3 linked regions of the Arabidopsis thaliana genome follow. The protein of the gene in region 1 purifies or fractionates together with the protein of each later gene. This does not show direct contact. Each region holds a gene or a part of one and is shown in the gene's direction. Other genes may lie near its edges.

What was found.
Region 2: the proteins of GLDP2 (region 1) and SQD1 fractionate together in Arabidopsis thaliana (co-fractionation; one large-scale study listed by BioGRID). This does not show direct contact.
Region 3: the proteins of GLDP2 (region 1) and PDE345 fractionate together in Arabidopsis thaliana (co-fractionation; one large-scale study listed by BioGRID). This does not show direct contact.

The regions. Positions count from the first base shown.
Region 1 is NC_003071.7:11,107,616-11,116,921, reverse strand, and holds GLDP2 (glycine decarboxylase P-protein 2), read left to right. Parts: upstream 1-2,630; 5' UTR 2,631-3,135; coding exon 3,136-4,368; intron 4,369-4,533; coding exon 4,534-4,779; intron 4,780-4,884; coding exon 4,885-4,962; intron 4,963-5,054; coding exon 5,055-5,155; intron 5,156-5,252; coding exon 5,253-5,448; intron 5,449-5,521; coding exon 5,522-5,647; intron 5,648-5,729; coding exon 5,730-5,915; intron 5,916-6,008; coding exon 6,009-6,122; intron 6,123-6,197; coding exon 6,198-6,350; intron 6,351-6,447; coding exon 6,448-6,636; intron 6,637-6,722; coding exon 6,723-6,800; intron 6,801-6,882; coding exon 6,883-7,008; intron 7,009-7,108; coding exon 7,109-7,207; intron 7,208-7,293; coding exon 7,294-7,411; intron 7,412-7,500; coding exon 7,501-7,592; 3' UTR 7,593-7,919; downstream 7,920-9,306. Other genes in the region: AT2G26100 (Galactosyltransferase family protein), read left to right, coding at 19-118, 202-315, 391-533, 616-710.
Region 2 is NC_003075.7:15,933,247-15,939,475, forward strand, and holds SQD1 (sulfoquinovosyldiacylglycerol 1), read left to right. Parts: upstream 1-2,126; 5' UTR 2,127-2,296; intron 2,297-2,766; 5' UTR 2,767-2,804; coding exon 2,805-3,836; intron 3,837-3,918; coding exon 3,919-4,320; 3' UTR 4,321-4,587; downstream 4,588-6,229. Other genes in the region: ZIP9 (ZIP metal ion transporter family), read right to left, coding at 443-1,104, 1,225-1,267, 1,358-1,372. UniProt on the Arabidopsis thaliana protein: Involved in the biosynthesis of sulfolipids found in thylakoid membranes. Converts UDP-glucose and sulfite to the sulfolipid head group precursor UDP-sulfoquinovose.
Region 3 is NC_003071.7:93,235-99,296, reverse strand, and holds PDE345 (Aldolase superfamily protein), read left to right. Parts: upstream 1-2,433; 5' UTR 2,434-2,805; coding exon 2,806-2,961; intron 2,962-3,073; coding exon 3,074-3,343; intron 3,344-3,438; coding exon 3,439-3,548; intron 3,549-3,651; coding exon 3,652-4,291; 3' UTR 4,292-4,570; downstream 4,571-6,062. Other genes in the region: AT2G01130 (DEA(D/H)-box RNA helicase family protein), read left to right, coding at 4,662-4,802, 4,950-5,110, 5,182-5,269, 5,364-5,588, 5,673-5,768, 5,908-6,062. UniProt on the Arabidopsis thaliana protein: Plays a key role in glycolysis and gluconeogenesis.

The DNA.
Region 1 (9,306 bases):
GTTTTTGTTTTGGTTCAGATCGACTTGCGACGCTTCTTGCCAATGAAAGACTTCATTCACAGACATACATTGGCTGCATGAAGAAAGGACCAGTTATAACTGACCCTAAACTAAAATGGTATTAACTAGTCCTCTCTTTATCCGTGACTGTAATTCTTTGTTGAGTTTATCAGTTTTGGTGACAGATACTGAATTTGTCAGGTACGAGAAACAAGGCAATTTGATTGGAAATGAATACTTTTTACATGCTTATGGACCGATATACGTTCTTTCAGCCGAGATAGTAGCTTCACTTGCAGCAGCTAGGAATGGCAGGTTTGAAATGTTTTTGATGTACCTAACTAGCAGATTTTGATATGCAAATCTCATTATCGGTGTTTTTCATTTCAGTCTGAGAATGTTTAATAATGAAGATGTAACTATCGGATCTTGGATGCTTGCAATGGATGTACATCACGAAGACAACCGCGCTTTATGCGATCCGCATTGTTCCCCAAAGTCCATAGCAGTTTGGGACATTCCCAAATGCTCAGGTAACATTAATATGTTCTCACATAATAGCAATAGCAGTCACACAAGAATCAATTAGCCAAGCTTTTCTTCTCAAATCTTTAGGGCTTTGTGACCCGGAGAGTCGGTTAAAAGAGCTTCATAAGACGGATATGTGCTCCAAGAGTCCGACATTACCTCCCGATGACATCGATCAGTAGTTTGTTTCAAGAGTTGCCCCCACTTGAAACTTCTTGAGACAGTTCTACGGAATATATGATCTCACCACAAGCACTAGAGTTCCGACATCATTGGAGCTGTATAGGGAAAAGATGACTTCATGGTTCTTACATGATCTGATTTTAATAGTTGTTGTTAGATTGTACCACATATATACACTGAAACTATATGTTATAGACAGATACATCAATATCCCTTTTTGTAAAATTAGATTTATGTGCCCAGTATAGGCACTGGGTGATGGATGATACATCTTGTTTCATTTGTAAAAGAAATCAAATTCAATCTATTTATTTGTTATATTAATTTTTTTCATCAAATACTGTTTCAAATTTTATGATACAGCGGAGATAAATCAGACATGAGACTATGTCAAAATTGCAGGAGAATTATTCTAAAGATAAAACCGTTTAGTGGATTTGGTTACCAAAATGTTGATATGGCCGAGTTGGTCTAAGGCGCCAGATTAAGGTTCTGGTCCGAAAGGGCGTGGGTTCAAATCCCACTGTCAACATAATTATTATTATTATTTTTTTTTTTAAATTTATATATAGGCTTCAAATCAAACAGTGACACTTTTTTGGTACAAATCAAATAGTGACTTATATATTAGAGAAATTGTTGGAAAAAAACAAATGTGATATCCATTGCTTTTGCGGAAACGTTGACAAATTATTGGCGAAATGGTGACTTATATATTTGAGCAACATACACACTCGTTTTTATCTTATTTTTATCCAAAAAGGGGAAAGTAGATGAATTATGTGGATTTTATTAGTGAATATGTGATGCATTTCATTAGTGAATTTGTTTGTTTCGAACACCTAACAATCAATTATGTTTGAGAGGATATTTTCAGGGCGGTCCTGAGGAGAGCAACATGAAACATTTGTATGTGACCTCATAGTTTTTTTCAAAAAATTACATTAAAATTTATTTGTAAATAGGCCCCCAAAAATATTTAATTTGAAAAAAACCTTAAATTGCAAAACAGTTTATACTCCCTCCCTCTGTTCCATCAAGATTGATGTTATAGGTTTTTTTTCTTGTTCCAAAAAGTTTGATGTTTTAGATCAATATTATTAGTATTTTTATTTGTGACCAATATAGAGAAGAGAAAGGCAGTGTCTGATATTATTAAACAAACAAAAGAATAATAAAAAAATAAAAAGTTATTTTTCTTAATTTGTGTGAAAACCCACAACATCAAACTTCATGAAATAGAGGGAGTATTAATTTCAAAATATATAATTTATGGTTTAGACCCCAGATTGTCATGACCGACCGTTGATACTTTGCATAGCTTAGAACTTTCATCTCTGCGTGTAGTAGAGAATGACTAGTTTGGTAACCTAATTTACTTATAGATCTTTAAACATATAGATCATTTGACCCAATTTACTGCCACGCGTTTTAAATGTACTAACTACTAAGTATGAATAAAATGATCAATTTGAGTCACAAAAAGTATGTTTATTGTGATCAATTGTGAAATGCCAACTCTTTTACAGGTATTACTAGGTTGATGGGAAATATTTTGCTAGGGTCCCCGACCAAACCGCACTAACAAAAACATGAAATTTAATTAGAAAAAAAAAAGTTGCAATATTTGGAGGACGATAGTTCCGTTGTCAAATGATGAACAACGAAGAAACCGTACATTGATGAGATAAGTTTTATGTGAAACACATCTTGCCACCTATATTTATGTAACTATGTGAACCATAATAATCATAAGCTCTTTACAATATATTTTCTTAGTTTTGTTTGTAAAGCAAATTTATGGAAGAAAAAAAAAATTGTCGTCCACATATTTCCAATCTCTTCCACTTTGATTCTCTTCCATTCAATCTTTCTTCGAGGTTTAAAGCATTTTCTATGATACAAAAGTATAAGAGATGTGTATCCAGTTGCAAAACTTATACTATGAATTGACTATACTATTTTGATAATTTCTATAACCATAACGGCTGCATGAACTATATACTTAAAACTATGACTACGATAGTCGCAATAAATGTATCGTACTATCCTTCGAACTCTTATACGATTTAAAACCTTAGCATATCAAACATTTAAATTTCTAGATAGTGATATCAAAATCCTACAGCCGCAATTTTTCCAGAAAAAGGTGATAATTTTTTTTTTTTATCAGCATATTGCTTCGATGCAAAATACGTGGAATCTATGCAAACAAATTTGTTTCTTCTGTATAGTTGCTTATTGAGTTGAGTGGTTGTCAGTCACCAACCCTCTTCAGATCTCAAAGCCACAATAAAATACGTTAAATTAATAATTACCAACCTCAAAACTATAATCTATATATATATATATATATAATCAGCATTTTCTTCAGTGTCTCTCTACTCTCTCTCAGATTTGCATTTGTTTTTTTTTGGTTTGGTTATGGAGCGTGCAAGGAGACTTGCTTACAGAGGGATCGTGAAACGTCTCGTCAACGAGACAAAACGCCACCGTAACGGCGAATCCTCTCTTCTTCCGACGACGACTGTTACTCCCTCAAGGTATGTCTCCTCCGTCTCCTCCTTTCTCCATCGCCGTCGTGATGTCTCTGGATCGGCTTTTACCACCTCCGGTAGAAATCAACACCAGACACGATCGATCTCCGTCGATGCGTTGAAGCCAAGCGACACTTTCCCGCGCCGGCACAACTCAGCAACACCGGATGAACAAGCTCAGATGGCGAATTACTGCGGATTCGATAATCTCAACACGTTGATTGATTCGACTGTTCCGAAATCGATTCGGTTAGATTCGATGAAGTTTTCCGGGATATTTGATGAAGGATTAACGGAGAGTCAAATGATTGAGCATATGAGTGATTTAGCTTCGAAGAACAAAGTTTTCAAATCGTTCATTGGTATGGGATACTATAACACTCATGTTCCTCCTGTGATTTTGCGTAATATAATGGAGAATCCTGCTTGGTATACTCAATATACTCCTTATCAAGCTGAGATTTCTCAAGGAAGACTCGAATCTCTGCTCAATTACCAGACGGTTATTACTGATCTCACCGGTCTACCGATGTCGAACGCTTCGTTGCTCGATGAAGGTACGGCGGCGGCGGAAGCAATGGCGATGTGTAATAATATTCTAAAGGGGAAGAAGAAGACGTTTGTTATTGCTAGTAATTGTCATCCTCAGACTATTGATGTTTGCAAGACGAGAGCGGATGGTTTCGATTTGAAAGTTGTGACGGTTGATATTAAGGATGTGGATTATAGCTCTGGTGATGTGTGTGGAGTGTTGGTTCAGTATCCGGGGACTGAAGGGGAGGTGTTGGATTATGGTGAGTTTGTTAAGAATGCTCATGCTAATGGTGTTAAGGTTGTTATGGCTACGGATTTGTTGGCTTTGACGATGTTGAAACCGCCGGGTGAGTTTGGGGCGGATATTGTTGTTGGGTCGGGTCAGAGGTTTGGTGTTCCGATGGGTTATGGTGGTCCTCATGCTGCTTTCTTGGCTACTTCACAAGAGTATAAGAGAATGATGCCTGGGAGGATTATTGGTGTTAGTGTTGATTCTTCCGGGAAGCAAGCTTTGCGTATGGCTATGCAGACTAGGGAACAGCATATCCGCAGGGATAAAGCTACCAGCAACATCTGTACCGCTCAGGTAAAAATGGCTTCAAACTCTATAGGATTTATGTAGTGTATACCGCTTTGACTATTACTGATAAGTGATAACAAAAGCGGGAAGAATTAGAGGTACCGAGAGAGCAGTACCATATTTTACATCTTCAAACTATTTTGCTATTGATTATCGTTTTCTACATTGTAGGCCTTGCTTGCAAATATGACTGCTATGTATGCTGTTTACCATGGACCAGAAGGCTTAAAATCTATTGCACAACGGGTTCATGGTCTCGCTGGTGTATTTGCCTTAGGATTGAAGAAACTGGGAACTGCACAAGTCCAAGATCTTCCCTTCTTTGACACTGTCAAAGTTACATGTTCAGATGCAACTGCAATTTTTGATGTGGCAGCCAAGAAGGAGATCAATTTGCGTCTTGTGGACTCCAACACTGTGAGTTTCTTCATATATATATATATATATATATATATATATATATTTCTTCAATATCTGGATATGATTATTAACATTGATGGGTTTTTTTTCTTGTTCTTTAAGATTACTGTTGCTTTCGATGAAACAACCACCTTGGATGATGTCGATAAACTTTTTGAAGTTTTTGCTTCGGGCAAGCCCGTGAGTTTACTTTAAGCTAATATCCATTCATCTCGCTTGTTCACTCTTTTTTTTCGTGTTTGCTTAAAATAATGTTTTCTCCAATGTACAAGGTTCAATTCACGGCTGAGTCTCTTGCACCGGAGTTTAACAATGCTATTCCCTCTAGCCTAACAAGAGAGAGCCCTTATCTGACCCATCCAATCTTCAACATGTATGTTACCTTCTTTAAATCTTGGTTCCTTCATTGCCCTGTGGCTTATTGTTAAGTACCTCACATTTACTTTCCCTTTTTTCTTACATTTGGTTAGGTACCACACGGAGCATGAGTTGCTTAGGTACATCCACAAGTTACAAAATAAAGATCTATCATTGTGCCACAGCATGATTCCACTTGGATCTTGTACGATGAAATTGAATGCCACCACTGAAATGATGCCAGTCACATGGCCAAGTTTCACCAACATGCACCCTTTTGCTCCTGTTGAACAAGCCCAAGGTTATCAGGTGAGGCCACATATTTGATTTACCTGACTAGAAATTTAACTACGTACTGAATTTTTTGTTTGACAACTTATAGGAAATGTTTACGAATTTGGGTGAGCTCTTATGTACGATCACTGGATTCGACTCTTTCTCATTGCAACCTAATGCCGGTGCTGCTGGCGAGTACGCCGGGCTCATGGTTATCCGTGCATATCATATGGTAAGCATACCTGTAGTTTCTTGTTTTCCAATATGAACTCGCACTTCAACAAATTTGGTAAATGGGTGAATAAATGATGCAGTCAAGAGGCGATCATCACAGAAATGTGTGCATCATACCTGTTTCTGCACACGGGACAAACCCTGCTAGTGCTGCCATGTGCGGAATGAAAATTGTTGCCGTTGGAACTGATGCCAAAGGAAACATTAACATCGAAGAGTTGAGGAACGCCGCCGAAGCCAACAAGGACAACTTGGCTGCTCTTATGGTATGTATTTACTTCTTTCATCACTATAGATGAAACAATGTCACTTTTGGGTCAATCCACTTTCTAATTCTACAACTTCTGTTTGAATATTAGGTTACATACCCTTCCACCCATGGAGTCTACGAAGAGGGTATCGACGAGATCTGCAACATAATTCATGAAAATGGAGGCCAAGTTTATATGGATGGTGCTAATATGAATGCACAGGTATGGTTTCTCTGCTGGTATGTTGACTGAAGAATCCAAAAGTTGTGAATTTGAGAAAGTTTTTGGAACTTCCAGGTGGGTTTGACAAGCCCTGGTTTTATTGGAGCGGATGTTTGCCATCTCAATCTCCACAAGACCTTCTGTATCCCTCACGGAGGTGGAGGTCCCGGAATGGGCCCTATCGGTGTGAAGCAACATTTGGCTCCATTCCTACCTTCTCACCCAGTGGTTAGTGTTAATTCTTATATGTTATGATCGCTAATCCATCTTTCTCAATGATTGAGTTATCTGCTTTTTTGTACTCATTCTGTTTACTCTGCTACAGATACCTACCGGTGGTATCCCTGAACCCGAGCAGACATCACCGCTGGGAACCATTTCTGCAGCACCATGGGGGTCTGCGCTTATCTTGCCAATCTCGTATACTTACATTGCCATGATGGGATCTGGAGGACTCACCGATGCCTCAAAGATTGCAATTTTGAACGCTAACTACATGGCAAAGCGTCTGGAGGTACCTTATCTTATCTTGACAACTCTTTAAAGAGAGTGAACGTCTCTTCTCTTGTGCAACCTCACTTATGCTTTCTTGTCTTTCAGAGCCACTACCCAGTTCTTTTCCGTGGTGTCAATGGAACAGTCGCTCACGAATTCATCATTGACTTGAGAGGATTCAAGGTATGTTTCTTTATCTCGTTTGAGTAAATGCTCTGTTTTTTGGTTGTACATGCTAAATCAATGTCTTGTTCAATGTCCTCAGAACACTGCTGGAATTGAACCAGAGGATGTGGCCAAACGATTGATGGATTATGGTTTCCATGGACCGACAATGTCTTGGCCTGTCCCTGGAACGCTTATGATCGAGCCAACCGAAAGCGAAAGCAAGGTAATTATGTCTTGCATTGCATTGCAAATCTCTCACTGACTCAGCTCTCAGTCTCTAAAACATGGCTTCATAATTTGTATATATATATGTAATATTTCAGGCTGAGTTAGATAGGTTCTGTGATGCTCTCATCTCGATCAGGGAAGAGATTTCACAGATTGAGAAAGGAAACGCAGATCCAAACAACAACGTTCTGAAGGTAAGAAAAAATTTGAGACCACAATTTCAGTTCGGACTAGCCCTCTAGTCTGATACTAATGAACTTTAAAAAACAAACACACACAGGGTGCTCCACATCCTCCGTCATTGCTAATGGCAGATACATGGAAAAAGCCGTATTCACGGGAATACGCAGCCTTCCCCGCTCCATGGCTCCGCTCCTCCAAGTTCTGGCCCACTACAGGTACTTGAAAACTAGGGGTGGCATTTCCCATAGAAAACAATTTGTTATTTGTAAATCGTTTCAAAATGTATTAAATATGTGTGAAACAGGGCGAGTGGACAACGTGTATGGAGACCGTAATCTGGTGTGCACTCTCCAACCGGCGAACGAAGAACAGGCTGCAGCTGCAGTGTCTGCTTAAATGAAGCCACTATGAAGCGATTCGCACTCGCACCAAAACCCACAATGGGGCGATTCGGACTCATACCGGATCCAGAAACGTATCTTTACTGGCTTTTACTTCTCTTCCCAGCCTCATCATCACTTTCACTTTCACTTCCTGTACAATGTACATACGTAGTCCTAAGTTCTTCCCTCATTTATTTAATAAAATACATTTCTTTATGTTCCACTTTCTTATACGTATAACATTCCATTTGGATGATGTGATCACCATCGTGGTTATATTTATGCCATATGATCTCTTTGAAAAAAGTTTGAATTCTTAGGATATTTATTGTTTCATTTTATAATTAGGAAATTTGGCAAAATAACCATAATTCTAGGTTTTATAAACAAACTGACTGACAACATATAGGTTCTGAATGGTTGCATGTAGAGTAAAAAGTGGAAGTGAAGGAGACAAAAAAATTTAGTGAAAGAAACAACCAAATATTAAAGGAAAGGAATCTAAATTTTGAAGTAGTTATTTTTTCTCTCTCCTTTGGGTAGAGTTAGATTTTTTTTTATAAAAAAAAGCTTAATACCAACTTGAACTTCCTTTCCAAAGAAAACTAGGAACTTGGTAGAGTTAAAATTTAATTTCACTTTTCTACATTTTGGCCAAAAAAAAACAAAAAGCAGTTCTAACCAATGCTAATCTTTTCTATTTTAGAGACACACATTGGAACAAAATCAACTCTAAAATAGTGAAAAAAAATAAAGGTAGGACATGGGAGATGCTCTTATGTTTCTGCTAATTTTTTCAATTGCCACTAATCAGACTTGTAGCATTATTCTACTAAATATCAGATTGGACATTAGATCACCTATACTAAAACCATCTCCAATGGTCACCTCTATAAATAGAGGAAAATATAGAGGTCATCATTAGAGATGCCCTAAGTCCTTGAACCAAAACCTGTATTTCCTCACAGAAAATAGATTTTCTGTATAGCCACATTAATTCATTCTAACTAGACTCTCACTGAATCTTTGAGAGGACCAACCTCATAATGATTTTTTCCTATCCTATATACTAATGCTTGTTTTTTTTTTTCTTCCGAAAGGTGATTAAAGGAGCATATTCTCATCGAGCCCTGTTCGGTTACCTCTCTAGCAAACAACTCATCTATCCTACGCTTTATCACTATTTTAGAGCACCTGACATTTCTCTTAAGAACAAATCAACCTTGTAAAGCATATGTGGCTTGATTCAAAAAGACAAACACTAGTGATAGACGCAAGAACCCTAAATAAAAAAAGTTTTCTAGATTCTCAAAACCGTTAGGTCTGACAGACATATATAAACAATTATCGAATTGTTATTAATTAATACGATGTCACTCTATACCTATAATAGAGATTAGGGTTTCCATGTGTTCATTTATCCAACCATAATTAATAACGACAACGGTAATCAATAAGACACATTAAGATTGATCGGTCAAGAGTTATGAGTTTCATAAGTCATCTCCAAATTTTGCGGAAACTAAATATTTAAACATCGGATTCTCTGTTTGTCAGTTGTCAGATCATCTGACTCGCATGCACATGATTCGTCTCAAAAAGGCAAACACGAATGATAGATGCAAGGACCCTAAATCAAGAAAGTTTTCTCGATTCTTAAAACCGTTACGTCCGACAGAAAAACATAAACAATTGTCGAATTGTCATAAATACGATGTCACTCTATA
Region 2 (6,229 bases), on another chromosome or scaffold:
CTTAAATAATAGTATGATATTTTAGAATTATCTTATTTTTTCGTTTTCATATTAATAATGTTTTGGTAGAATGAACATGAAGTAGTACTATATATAATAGTTACGAAGATAACATTAAATAATTACTTAAACAAGCAATAAAATAAATTTTATTATTTTTTTCAATAACAAAATCTATATAGTGATTAGCAACTAACTAAACTTGGCATTGTAAAACTTTATAGTTGATTACTATAACAACTCTAAAACAGCTTATGCAAGTCATGTACAGTTATTAGAATTCATCCAATTGACTTGGCTACATTGTATATGAATGAAGTCAACTGCATTTGAAATAAATAAATCTTATTAGCATTAAAGAACTCAAAACTTAAAAGTCAGAGCTTACGAAAAACAAAGTCAAAGTCAAAAAACATATGAAGAAAAGAAAAAGGTCGTTTACCTGAGAAACAACAACGTGCCTCACACCACTGTCCAAGCCTACGTCCCCGTGGCCGTGGCTGTGGCCGTGTCCATGACCGGAAACACCACTTCTCTTAGAGAGAGCCTCAAAACCTTCGGCACCCATGGAGAGGCTATGACGGTGATGCTCCGCGTGAGCCCGCATCCCCACGATATGCAACGCCCCTCCATCTTCTTGATCTCTCAGAAAACCCGATTCAAGACCTGGGTCAGACATAACCGAAACTTGCGTACCAAGCGACTCGACGGACTGGTTCATCATCTTCTCCTGTTTCCTCTCGTAGTATCCCGTGATCATGAAATCCGCGAGCAGAGTAAGAAGCGCCGCGACCATGGCGAAGAATTCTGGAAAAGGGAACATTTTCCATGGAAACTCCGGCAGACATGGGTCGGACAAAGCTTTGGATCCGCCCGAGAGCATGTGAACGAACCCTGTTGCGAGGATAACTCCTGCTGCGAACGCTTTGGCTCCCCTCATTAAGCCACCGTTTAACGGAAGTAGGGTTCCAACTAGAGGAATCGAGACTCCGGCAGCTCCGGAGATAAGGATCGACGCCATAGCTGCGAACTTGAGGGTAAGAGCAGCTGCGTCATCTCGGCACGGGTCTGAGTCGCCCGAGTCACAGCTAGTTGTGAACGACTCTGTTTTGTTACATGCAAAAATAAATTGAGTTAACTTTGCTAAGAAAATCTCAAAATTTGCATTTAAGTGTGTTTAAGAGCGAAATGAAGTAATTGCTTTGAGATTTGAAGTGACAATACCTGTCAAACCAGATGATAATGGTCGAAGAAACTGCCAAAAATCCTGAAAACATTATGAGGCAAAATTATGTGAGGAAACAGGATTGAAGAAGCAAAATAACATTAAATAGATGAAGTGGAAGAAGTTTCAGACCTGTAAGAGAGACATTTACTAAATCCGATTAGGCGATTAAACTTGTAGAATTATATAAATTATTGCCAAGGAAACCAGCAAGCTAAGTATATATGGGTTATTAATATTATGGAGTTGTCTGTGTGTTTTATAAAGAAAGATTGGGAGAATGTCAATCAGTGCGAGGGTTTGTGTGTGCGTGCACGTACGTTAACAAGGTCACATGAGGTTCACGGGAATCAAATGACCATAGAATGTCGTCATTTTCATCTAGTACCCTCATTGACAAGAATATTAAAGTTTGGAAGATAATAACTACGAGAAAACAAATATAGAATTAGAGATGAGATGTATGAGAATGTTTTGTTATAATTGAAGTCTTTGTTCGTATCTTGCATCAGAAGTATGACTCTTGTTTGGTCAACTTGCAGAAAAATGACTATTACAATGCGAAATACTAGTAATGTTTTGCGTCTTAATAAAATTTCATTCAAAAGATTATGTAAGTTAGGTTTGCATTTTACAGTTGATTTTGTTTTTCTCCTATCTCATGATTCTCTGTTTTAATAATTAAAAGTTAAAATTTAGAAAATAGCCACAAACATATTCAAAAAGTATATATTTGGGCCAACCGGCCCAGTAAGGGAAGAATGTTCCTTAAGTTGCCTAAATGAGCGACTGAGAAACTGGCCCACAAAGGCCGGACCTGTATCATTCACAACCGGAAAACTTTAAAACTAATAAACCAACGTTCTTAAAAAAGCGACACTTTGGGCCATAATTTGTTGGGAAGGGAATAAGTAAGAATATGCTTTGGGCATATCTGATGATTTATATCTGTCTCATCTCATCTCTCATCGTTCCGGGAGAAGAGAAGAGAGACCCATCCCTCACTTCAAAGTTCAAAGTCTCGAAGGATCTTCTCCAACTCTCTCTAAACAAGATTCCAAATTTTCAAAGGTAAGCAATCGTTTCTTCTAATGAATTTCATTTCTCCGGTTTTGTAAGTTGAGTGATTTCGTTTTGAAGAAACTCTGAATATGATAGGAAATCAAAATTCACAGAGTTTTCATTCAGTTGGGTTTTCTCTGAATTTCATCAATGTACTTCTTTCTTACATTTACTTTAGTTGATCAAATAAATATCCAGTCTTTGACAATAGCTGATTTTCAGATTCGATAAAAGACTTCAAATTTCGTGTGTTTTGATTCTTCTCTTGTTATGGACGTAGCTGATTTAGGGGGGGGGGTGTGAAGATAAAGTTTCGATTTCTATTCATGTCTTTTTGGATTTTGATTTGAATTTGAAGTTAAACTAGAGAAAATCAGCTGAATCCTTACTTGTTATATGGTATGAAACATCTACTTGATATGTCTTGTTCTGCTGAACCAAATTATGTCTTGAAATCTTAGCTGCTTTTGTTTTTGCAGGTGAATTTGTTTGATAGAATCAAGAACAAACCTTTAAAATGGCGCATCTACTTTCAGCTTCATGCCCTTCAGTTATCTCACTTAGCAGCAGCAGCAGCAAGAATTCAGTTAAGCCGTTTGTTTCAGGGCAGACCTTCTTCAATGCTCAGCTTCTTTCAAGATCTTCTCTCAAAGGACTTCTCTTCCAAGAGAAGAAACCGAGAAAAAGCTGCGTTTTCAGAGCAACTGCTGTACCTATAACCCAACAAGCACCACCCGAAACATCTACCAATAACTCATCCTCTAAACCAAAGCGTGTTATGGTCATTGGTGGAGATGGTTATTGCGGTTGGGCTACTGCTCTCCACTTGTCCAAGAAGAATTACGAAGTTTGCATTGTTGACAACCTTGTAAGACGTCTTTTCGACCACCAGCTTGGACTTGAGTCATTGACTCCTATTGCCTCCATTCATGACCGAATCAGCCGATGGAAGGCTTTGACAGGGAAATCAATTGAGTTGTACGTTGGTGATATCTGTGATTTCGAATTCTTAGCTGAGTCTTTCAAGTCTTTTGAGCCGGATTCAGTTGTCCACTTTGGGGAACAGAGATCCGCTCCTTACTCGATGATTGACCGGTCCAGAGCAGTTTATACACAGCACAACAATGTGATTGGGACTCTCAACGTTCTCTTTGCTATAAAAGAGTTTGGAGAGGAGTGTCATCTTGTAAAACTTGGGACGATGGGTGAGTATGGAACTCCAAATATTGACATCGAGGAAGGTTATATAACCATAACCCACAACGGTAGAACTGACACTTTGCCATACCCCAAGCAAGCTAGCTCCTTTTATCATCTTAGCAAAGTTCATGATTCGCACAACATTGCTTTTACTTGCAAGGCTTGGGGTATTAGAGCCACTGATCTCAACCAAGGAGTTGTTTATGGAGTGAAGACTGATGAGACAGAGATGCATGAGGAACTCCGTAACCGACTGGATTACGATGCTGTGTTTGGTACAGCACTTAACCGGTTCTGTGTGCAAGCTGCTGTTGGTCACCCACTTACAGTTTATGGTAAAGGTGGTCAGGTAAATGACTTTCTTGATCTGTTTTCACATGAAATTTCAATCGAAAAATTTGAGGTTTTGATTGAAGTTTTTCCCTTTGCAGACGAGAGGCTACCTCGATATAAGAGACACGGTTCAATGTGTTGAGATCGCTATAGCAAACCCGGCAAAAGCTGGTGAGTTCCGGGTCTTCAACCAATTTACAGAACAGTTTTCAGTCAATGAACTGGCTTCACTCGTCACTAAAGCGGGTTCAAAGCTTGGGCTAGACGTGAAAAAGATGACGGTGCCTAACCCGAGAGTGGAGGCAGAAGAACATTACTACAACGCAAAGCACACTAAGCTGATGGAACTTGGACTTGAGCCTCACTATCTATCTGACTCACTTCTTGATTCGTTGCTCAACTTTGCTGTTCAGTTTAAAGATCGTGTGGACACGAAACAAATCATGCCTAGTGTTTCCTGGAAGAAGATTGGCGTCAAGACTAAGTCCATGACCACATAAAGTGCAGACCAATATTACACATAAGGAGAGATTATGAAAGAGATGATGTGTTGTTTGGTATCTTCAAACTTCATTTCTGCAAAAGACTTGCTAGGCTTAAGAGGTTTTGTCCATATTACATTGTGCAGGTTCTTTAATGTTAGATCTTAATTTCGATGAAAATGTTATAATGTTGCCTTAAATGTTATGTAATGAGAAAAACTATATTATATGAAAAATAAGAAAATGTTAAATAAGTAACAGAAAACCATCTTTTACTTCAGTTAAGAGAATCTGACGAATATCGATCAATGGTTGCAGAAAAATTTCTTCGAGATCTTAGACGAATAAAACTGTAATTAAATTTCTTCAATAAAATCTGGTTTAAAATTTATATAAGTTACGTAATACTTTTGGTGTATTAAATTTAAAATAATGGAGAGTGGTGTTGGTGGGTCATCGTCGTTGGCTATTTTTAAAAAATATTAATGTCTTTTCCAAATACGAAGGAAACTTGTGGGGTCAAACTCTAAGGAATAGAGTGGGTTTTGTATAATTATAATTGTAGCCCTAATGATTCTCTCGTTTTTTCGTATACTATTTTTCTAAAGAACAATAAACGATTCGATTACTACTATAGTTATAAAAAAAAAGAAACAGCTTACACATATTTTCACTTTCCCCATTTATTTTGTTTGACGAAAACCACATAACCAAAAGTAAGTCGATATCCCAATTGGCCAATTCCCATTTATTTTTTAATTGAAGAAAAATATGCAATATGATTTTATTTTTTTTCCGTCAAAATATGCAATATGATTATATGAATAAACTGCACTCTATCTGGACTCTGTGTTCCGCTTACGTACGTCTATGATTTTTTTTGCGTGCTTTTCTTTGAAACTATCAAATGAATCCTTAGTGGCCGAGCTGCCACCATATCTCAGAGTTACACGTAAAAGCGTATTGGGAAAATTTAATATTCATGTTGTGCGCCTCTTAACACATTTGTATCTACGATTTTGTCTCTGTTGTTTTTGCAGCATATCCGAAAATAGCACCAATGAGGAAAAGTGAGAGAGCTTGCTGTCCAAAAAGTGTATATATTTTTATTCAATTTTTTTAATGCTACTTACAAATGATATTGAAAAATAAAAGAAACTAGATATAAATAATAAAACAAGTGGATGGAATGATCAAATAATTGAACAAACAATTCTCCATAGTTAACACTTAACACTATTCAACTTAACTGAAATTAATAGTTTGAAAGCGTGGAGGCTTTTGGTGTGGAGGCACTGAGAGTTTTCTTTGCATTTTATTGCAAATATTAATATCATTATTTACTAAACATTTGTTGGAGAGATTGTTGGTTATGATTGATGAGCTCATCATCCTCGGCCTCCATCAGTATTCATCAACTTGCGAATTAAAAATATATACAAAATAGCATAACCTTAATTTCGAAGACATGTCACATGATCTCACACAAAATTCTTAATCCCACAAACTACCACCAAGTTGTATATAGGTCGGCAAGTTTTTTTCTTTTTTCAAGTTAATTTCGGATGTATGAACGTATGTGCATACACTTTACAGTATGGTTTTGAAACTTGAATATCAAAAATTTATCTATGGAAATTACTCCTTAGCAAATGATATCTGAGTAACAAAGAATAATAGTATTTTGTAACACGCACAAAAATATGAACTAGTGGAATATATTAAAAACGATGTCTCCGTTACTTCGCCTATACTGAAACTCGTTTGAGTTTTAACAAATTAAAGGTAAAAAATATATTACGCTTCGCACATGCAAAAAATAAAAATGACTGCATCCAGATCATCCGAAGCTCTCTCGGTAAACTAGCACTTTAGTGTGAGATCAGCACCTAACATTTATTTGACATAGGTCAACCTTGACCCTTGA
Region 3 (6,062 bases), about 11 Mb from region 1:
TAAATTTTTTTTAAAAAAATATTTGTTACTAACGATCATATAAGATAGTATTAAGTTATTCAGAAAACATAATTAAAATAGAAATTGAAGGTGTAGGTGTGTGGTTTAGTCATCGATATAGCCAACCAGTGACAACCACCTCGACTCTCTTTGACCTAATTATTTGACCACTCCTTCCACTTTACATCATAAAATCTGAAACCACTTACCATCTCTCGTCACATAGCTAGCAGACGATCGTCTTCATTATGTGGTTGTGACTCTCATTCTAATGTAATCCTGGTAAAAATAGCATGCGAGTGTCTTATCGATCCTCGTTGTTTATATGATTAAATCATTTATTATAAAATAAACAAAACACAACTAATATTTTTTGCATTAAAAATTTAAAATATTTTAGGAGGAGTGATTGTTTCGACGAAAATATATTTTATATAGTATGAACATGAATGAGTAAAAGGTAACTCATTTTGGTGTGTGTGTCAAATTTTGATTTTAAGTTTTTTTTGTTTGTTTGTTAAGTGTATCAACGAATCTCTAGTTCTAGCTTTGATACCAACTGAAGTAGCGGAAGTTTTAATGGATAGAACTAGACATCCGTTGATTCCTCGGAATACCAGAAAACTAGAATTTTTTGGATCTGTTGATTCCTCAGAATAACAGAAACGAGAGAACGTAAGGAATTCGTTGATTCTCTTCGAATACCGAATCCTACATCTTTTTATAACCGTTGAAATCTTTCAAGATCTACCGAAAGCAAGGAATTAGAGAATACTCTTCTCTGAAAAGGTAAAAGCTTAATTTTATTAATCAATTAACTGAATACAATTTTAAGTTCAAAAGTCTTAATTATAATAAATCCAAAATTTTAGAAAATTCATAAAACAATAAATAAAAATTATCTAAATAATTAAATAAAAATATGAGGAAATAATAAAGACAATTTGAAATTATCCAAATATATACTGCATTAGGTAGCATGCGGCTTGCAAGACTATAGTATTTGTTTTAGAAACTATAGGTCTATTAGCTAGACAGAATTAAGAGCTATAGAAAAGTTGTTAAAATTGATAATGCGATGCTTTTTCACATAACTCAAGAAAACCAAATCAAGTTCCGATCCATCATTGTTTGTCGACCAAGGGATGATCAGTCGATAGGTCCACGTACGTTGTTGTTTAAATGAAAATAGTTAACATGGATGTAAATTTAATAAGTAAACAATGAAAATGACAAATGAAGTAGAGAAGATGGAGAAAACAGGACCAAGGGCTTGTAAAAGAATTGCCAAATAAACAACAACGTGGTCCTATCACCTTCTGCTTCTCCCTACGCACCAACCAGTCAACCATACTCAATAGGTTTCATTACAAGACAAATAACACACTCTCTTTTGTCTTTTCTCTTTTTTCGAATGGGAAACACTGACTAGCTTTGTTTGTATATTTAAATCGTTTCTAACAGAGAGAGCGTGGCGAAGTGTGAACACAAACACCTAGAAAGATCTGAGAGTCAATTCTTCTGGGTGACATATGCATGTGAACTGTATGAAGACGCGTTTTGGGGTTTATCGTTTAAAAATCATTAGATATGTGACTGACCAAAGTGTTAATCAAAGATCTGCACCAACACCTTTTACATATACTATATTCTAATACGTAGAGGCAGCGTAGAACACTCTAGAAGAAGTACTAGGTGAATTATGATCGATATGCCATTCATCTGAGAGCAGAGAATGGAACTTTACGCATGTTTAATTAAAACAACTTTCAAACTTGTCTTAAAATATGAAAATTACTAGTTCCTACTCTGATTAAGATAAGATTGGCATTATATTCATATTCTTGTACCTAATATATAATTGAAGCACTTGAACATATTTAGTCATATAGTCTTGAATTTTGTTGTTGTTTTTCCCTTTTTTTGTGGGGTCAAACTGAGTTGCTGTAAATTTGAACATACATATGAATATGCATTTAAATTGTGGCCAACAGTTTTAGAAAACTGTTATCAAATCAAAGATACTTTAAAAATACAAAAAAGTAGTGTAAGATACAAGAAAGAAAAAGTTGCCACTTTCTCATGTCGCATATATATAACGTTTCTCGGAACTTGCATTTTCTCTCTTCTTGTTTACACCTTCCTCGCCTGTTACGAGTAACACCAATATTTGGACTTATTGGATGGTTGCCTTAATAAAAAGGAAAAAAAAAAAGAAAAAGACCCAAGAACACCAAAGCTGTCGTGGGCTCTTATTGTTTATCTGAAACTAAGCCCTATTACTATTGGGCCCAAAAATCAATTACGTAAAAGAGTTTGCCTGTTATATAAGTTGTTTACTATTGTGGCCCAACAGATAAAAAAGGGAATATCCGGCCCATTCTCTTTCATCACACTCCTTGAAGAGGTGATAGGTCATGTAATTTGATTAATTAAGAAAAACGATTGAGTTAGACGAAGAGGCAATGGTAGGAGAAGGATAGTTTGGGTAGACGAAACGGTAGAGTTTTGGTTATTCTCAGATTCTTGTTGTTGAGAGACTGATGAACTACTAGAAAAAATTACCAGTATCTCCCTCAAGGTTAAAAGCGTCATTTACGGTAAATTGGGGAATAAAATGGTAAAGAGAAGGAGGCTTTTTGGTGGTGGGAGTAGGTGATGCCAAAGTAGACGACTACTAATAGTAGTAAACAAAACCTTTGGCTTTAACACTCTCCTCCAAATCCCAGATCTCTCTCTGTCTCTGTCCCGCGGAGTCCCCGAGAGATTGATCACCATCACTTTTGTACCTTCCTTGTACTACCTATGGCGTCTGCTAGCTTCGTTAAGCCTAACACCCTCTCTTCTCCATGGATCGGCCAACGCTCCTTTGCTCACACCTCTGCTTCTTCTTCTCCTCCTCCTCGAGTCTCCTTCGCGATCCGCGCCGGTGCTTACTCCGACGAGCTTGTTAAAACCGCCGTGAGTATCCTCCTTATCCTCTCTCTCTCTTTGATGCTTTATTAGTTTGGATTCGTTTCCGTAATTCTCAAAGTCAAACGTAGAGTGAGATTCTCTGATTATTGCGTAATAGAAAAGCATTGCATCCCCTGGGAGAGGTATCTTGGCGATCGATGAGTCCAATGCAACCTGTGGGAAGAGGCTTGCTTCTATCGGCTTGGATAACACCGAGGACAACCGTCAGGCCTACAGGCAACTTCTGCTTACCACTCCTGGCCTCGGCGATTACATCTCTGGTTCCATTCTCTTCGAGGAGACTCTTTACCAGTCCACCAAGGACGGTAAGACCTTTGTCGATTGCTTGCGCGATGCCAACATCGTCCCTGGCATCAAAGTTGACAAGGTATTTTTTATCCATTTATTCTGTCATCATCATCATAAGTAGTTGAGTTTTTATGTGTGTTGAGTGAAGTGTTGACAATGCAATCCACCGCGTAGGGCTTGTCTCCCCTAGCCGGTTCCAACGAAGAGTCTTGGTGCCAAGGCTTGGATGGATTGGCCTCACGCTCTGCTGAGTACTACAAGCAAGGCGCTCGTTTTGCCAAGTGGTATGTCATATATTTCACCATGTTATCTTACATATGGTATTAACTCTTTGGTTTGATGTGAAAATGCTCTTCCTAGTTTTGATGTTTGTGTGTGTTTGTCTAGGAGGACAGTGGTGAGTGTTCCCTGCGGTCCTTCAGCACTGGCTGTGAAGGAAGCTGCGTGGGGGCTGGCTCGCTATGCAGCCATCTCTCAGGATAATGGTCTTGTCCCCATTGTGGAGCCAGAGATCCTTCTGGACGGGGACCACCCAATAGAGAGGACTCTGGAGGTGGCAGAGAAAGTGTGGTCAGAGGTGTTCTTCTACTTGGCACAGAACAACGTCATGTTTGAGGGCATTCTGTTGAAGCCGAGCATGGTCACCCCAGGCGCTGAGCACAAGAACAAGGCCTCTCCCGAGACCGTTGCAGATTTCACGCTCACCATGCTGAAAAGGAGGGTTCCTCCGGCTGTCCCAGGGATCATGTTTCTGTCAGGAGGACAATCAGAGGCAGAGGCCACACTGAACCTGAACGCCATGAACCAGAGCCCAAACCCATGGCATGTGTCCTTCTCATACGCACGTGCCCTGCAGAACTCCGTGCTCAGAACATGGCAAGGCAAGCCGGAGAAGATTGAGGCCTCGCAGAAGGCACTGTTGGTGAGGGCAAAGGCCAACTCACTGGCCCAGCTCGGCAAATACTCAGCCGAGGGAGAGAACGAGGATGCCAAGAAAGGAATGTTTGTCAAGGGTTACACCTACTGATTTGTTAATTTCAGAGATCGTAATAAGGATTAAGGACCATTGTTGTCTTTTGTTTTTTTTTCCCTTTTTTGTTTTGTCTCTGAGAAAGAAAGACAGTCACGAGTCACGATCATATCATATATGTATGTGAGCAACGTGAAAACATCCTCTTAAATCTATATTTCCTCTCAGAAAGACTGATTACTGTTTGACTGCAAAACCAAATTGTGTAATTCTTCTTTTAAGTTTACAAAATTTTTGGAGGGCGATTAGGTAAAATTGGCATAGTTGCAAGTTCAGTGTTAGAAGAAGCAGCGGAGATCTCTCTCCCTCTTTATAGTTTACTTTTGACTTACAGTAGAGAGAGTTTAGAGTTTTGAATTTGGCTCCGATGACGAATCGTCTTCCTCCTTCGCTGTACGTTCCGCCTCACCAGCGCCTTGGTTCCGATTACGGCTTCAATCCTGTTCCTCTCTCTCCAGTTCGCTATGTCTCCGCTTATGATGACCGCGTTTCCGAGGATCGCCAACCGGTTAACTTCTTCTTCATCTTTTTTTCATGCATCTCTGAGCTTTTTGATTGATGCTCTTACAATGGCGATTCTAGTTTTCGATTTGCTCTCGAGTAGCATTTTATAAAAATCCCTTTATCTTTCTACTGGAACCATATCAATTTGCAGCAGGAGGGTACCTTTCACTGTGCCGACTTGGATGATTGGAATAAGAGATTTTCAATGCTTTTGAAAGATTCTTTAAAGCAAGAAGTTATTTCCAGGGAGAAAAAAGATAGACGGGATTTTGATAAACTTGCTGCTCTGGCTACAACCCTGGGATTGTATAGGTACATCAATCATGCTGCTCCTTTCTTTCTTCTTTCTCACTAGTACAACCATTTCTGTTTCTTTTTTGCAGTCATGCATATGCTAAGGTTGTTGTCTTCAGTAAGATCCCACTCCCCAACTATAGGTTTGATTTAGATGACAAGAAGCCACAGAGGGAGGTATTATCCGCTGCTCCTCACTCTCTTCTCTTACACTTAACGCAAGACGGCTTGTTTTTCTTTAAAGAGCAGATATATACAAAAATATTTACAGGTGAATTTGCATACTGACCTTCTTCAAAGAGTTGAAGCTTACCTCACAGAATACCTCAGTAAAAGCTCTAATAGGATAGATAGAGTCCCTGCCAATTCCGTCTCAAGAACTAGTAGCATTAGCAGTACTGATGAATGGTTTTCTGAGCAACCACTACCCATCTCTGCCACCAAAATTCTTTGGCAAAGGAGTTTGCAGCTGCGTGATCGACAACAATATTGGCAGGTTCTGTTTATATTAGGTCCTTAATATATTCTTCATCTATGCTTTTTCATCGTCCATTTAGTTTTGATGTGTTCCATTGATTAGGCATCCGTAGAAGGCCAAAGAATGTTGGATTCTCGTACAAGTCTCCCTGCTTTCAAGCAAAGGCATTCAGTATTGACAGCTATTTCACAAAATCAGGTCTGCACAGAAGATAACTGGAAGCATGCTTGAGCTCAGTCGTGTGACATCTGTGTCAAATAGAAAATCGAATATCAACTTGACGGTCGTCTTGGTTTTGTATTAGTTCCGATTACCCACATAAATTTTCGTATTGCAGGTTATTGTTATCTCTGGAGAAACAGGTTGCGGCAAGACCACACAAATCCCGCAGTTTATTTTAGAATCCGAGATTGAAGCAAACCGTGGAGCTTTTTCCAGTATCATATGTACTCAACCAAGGAGAATATCTGCTATGTCTGTTTCGGAGAGGGT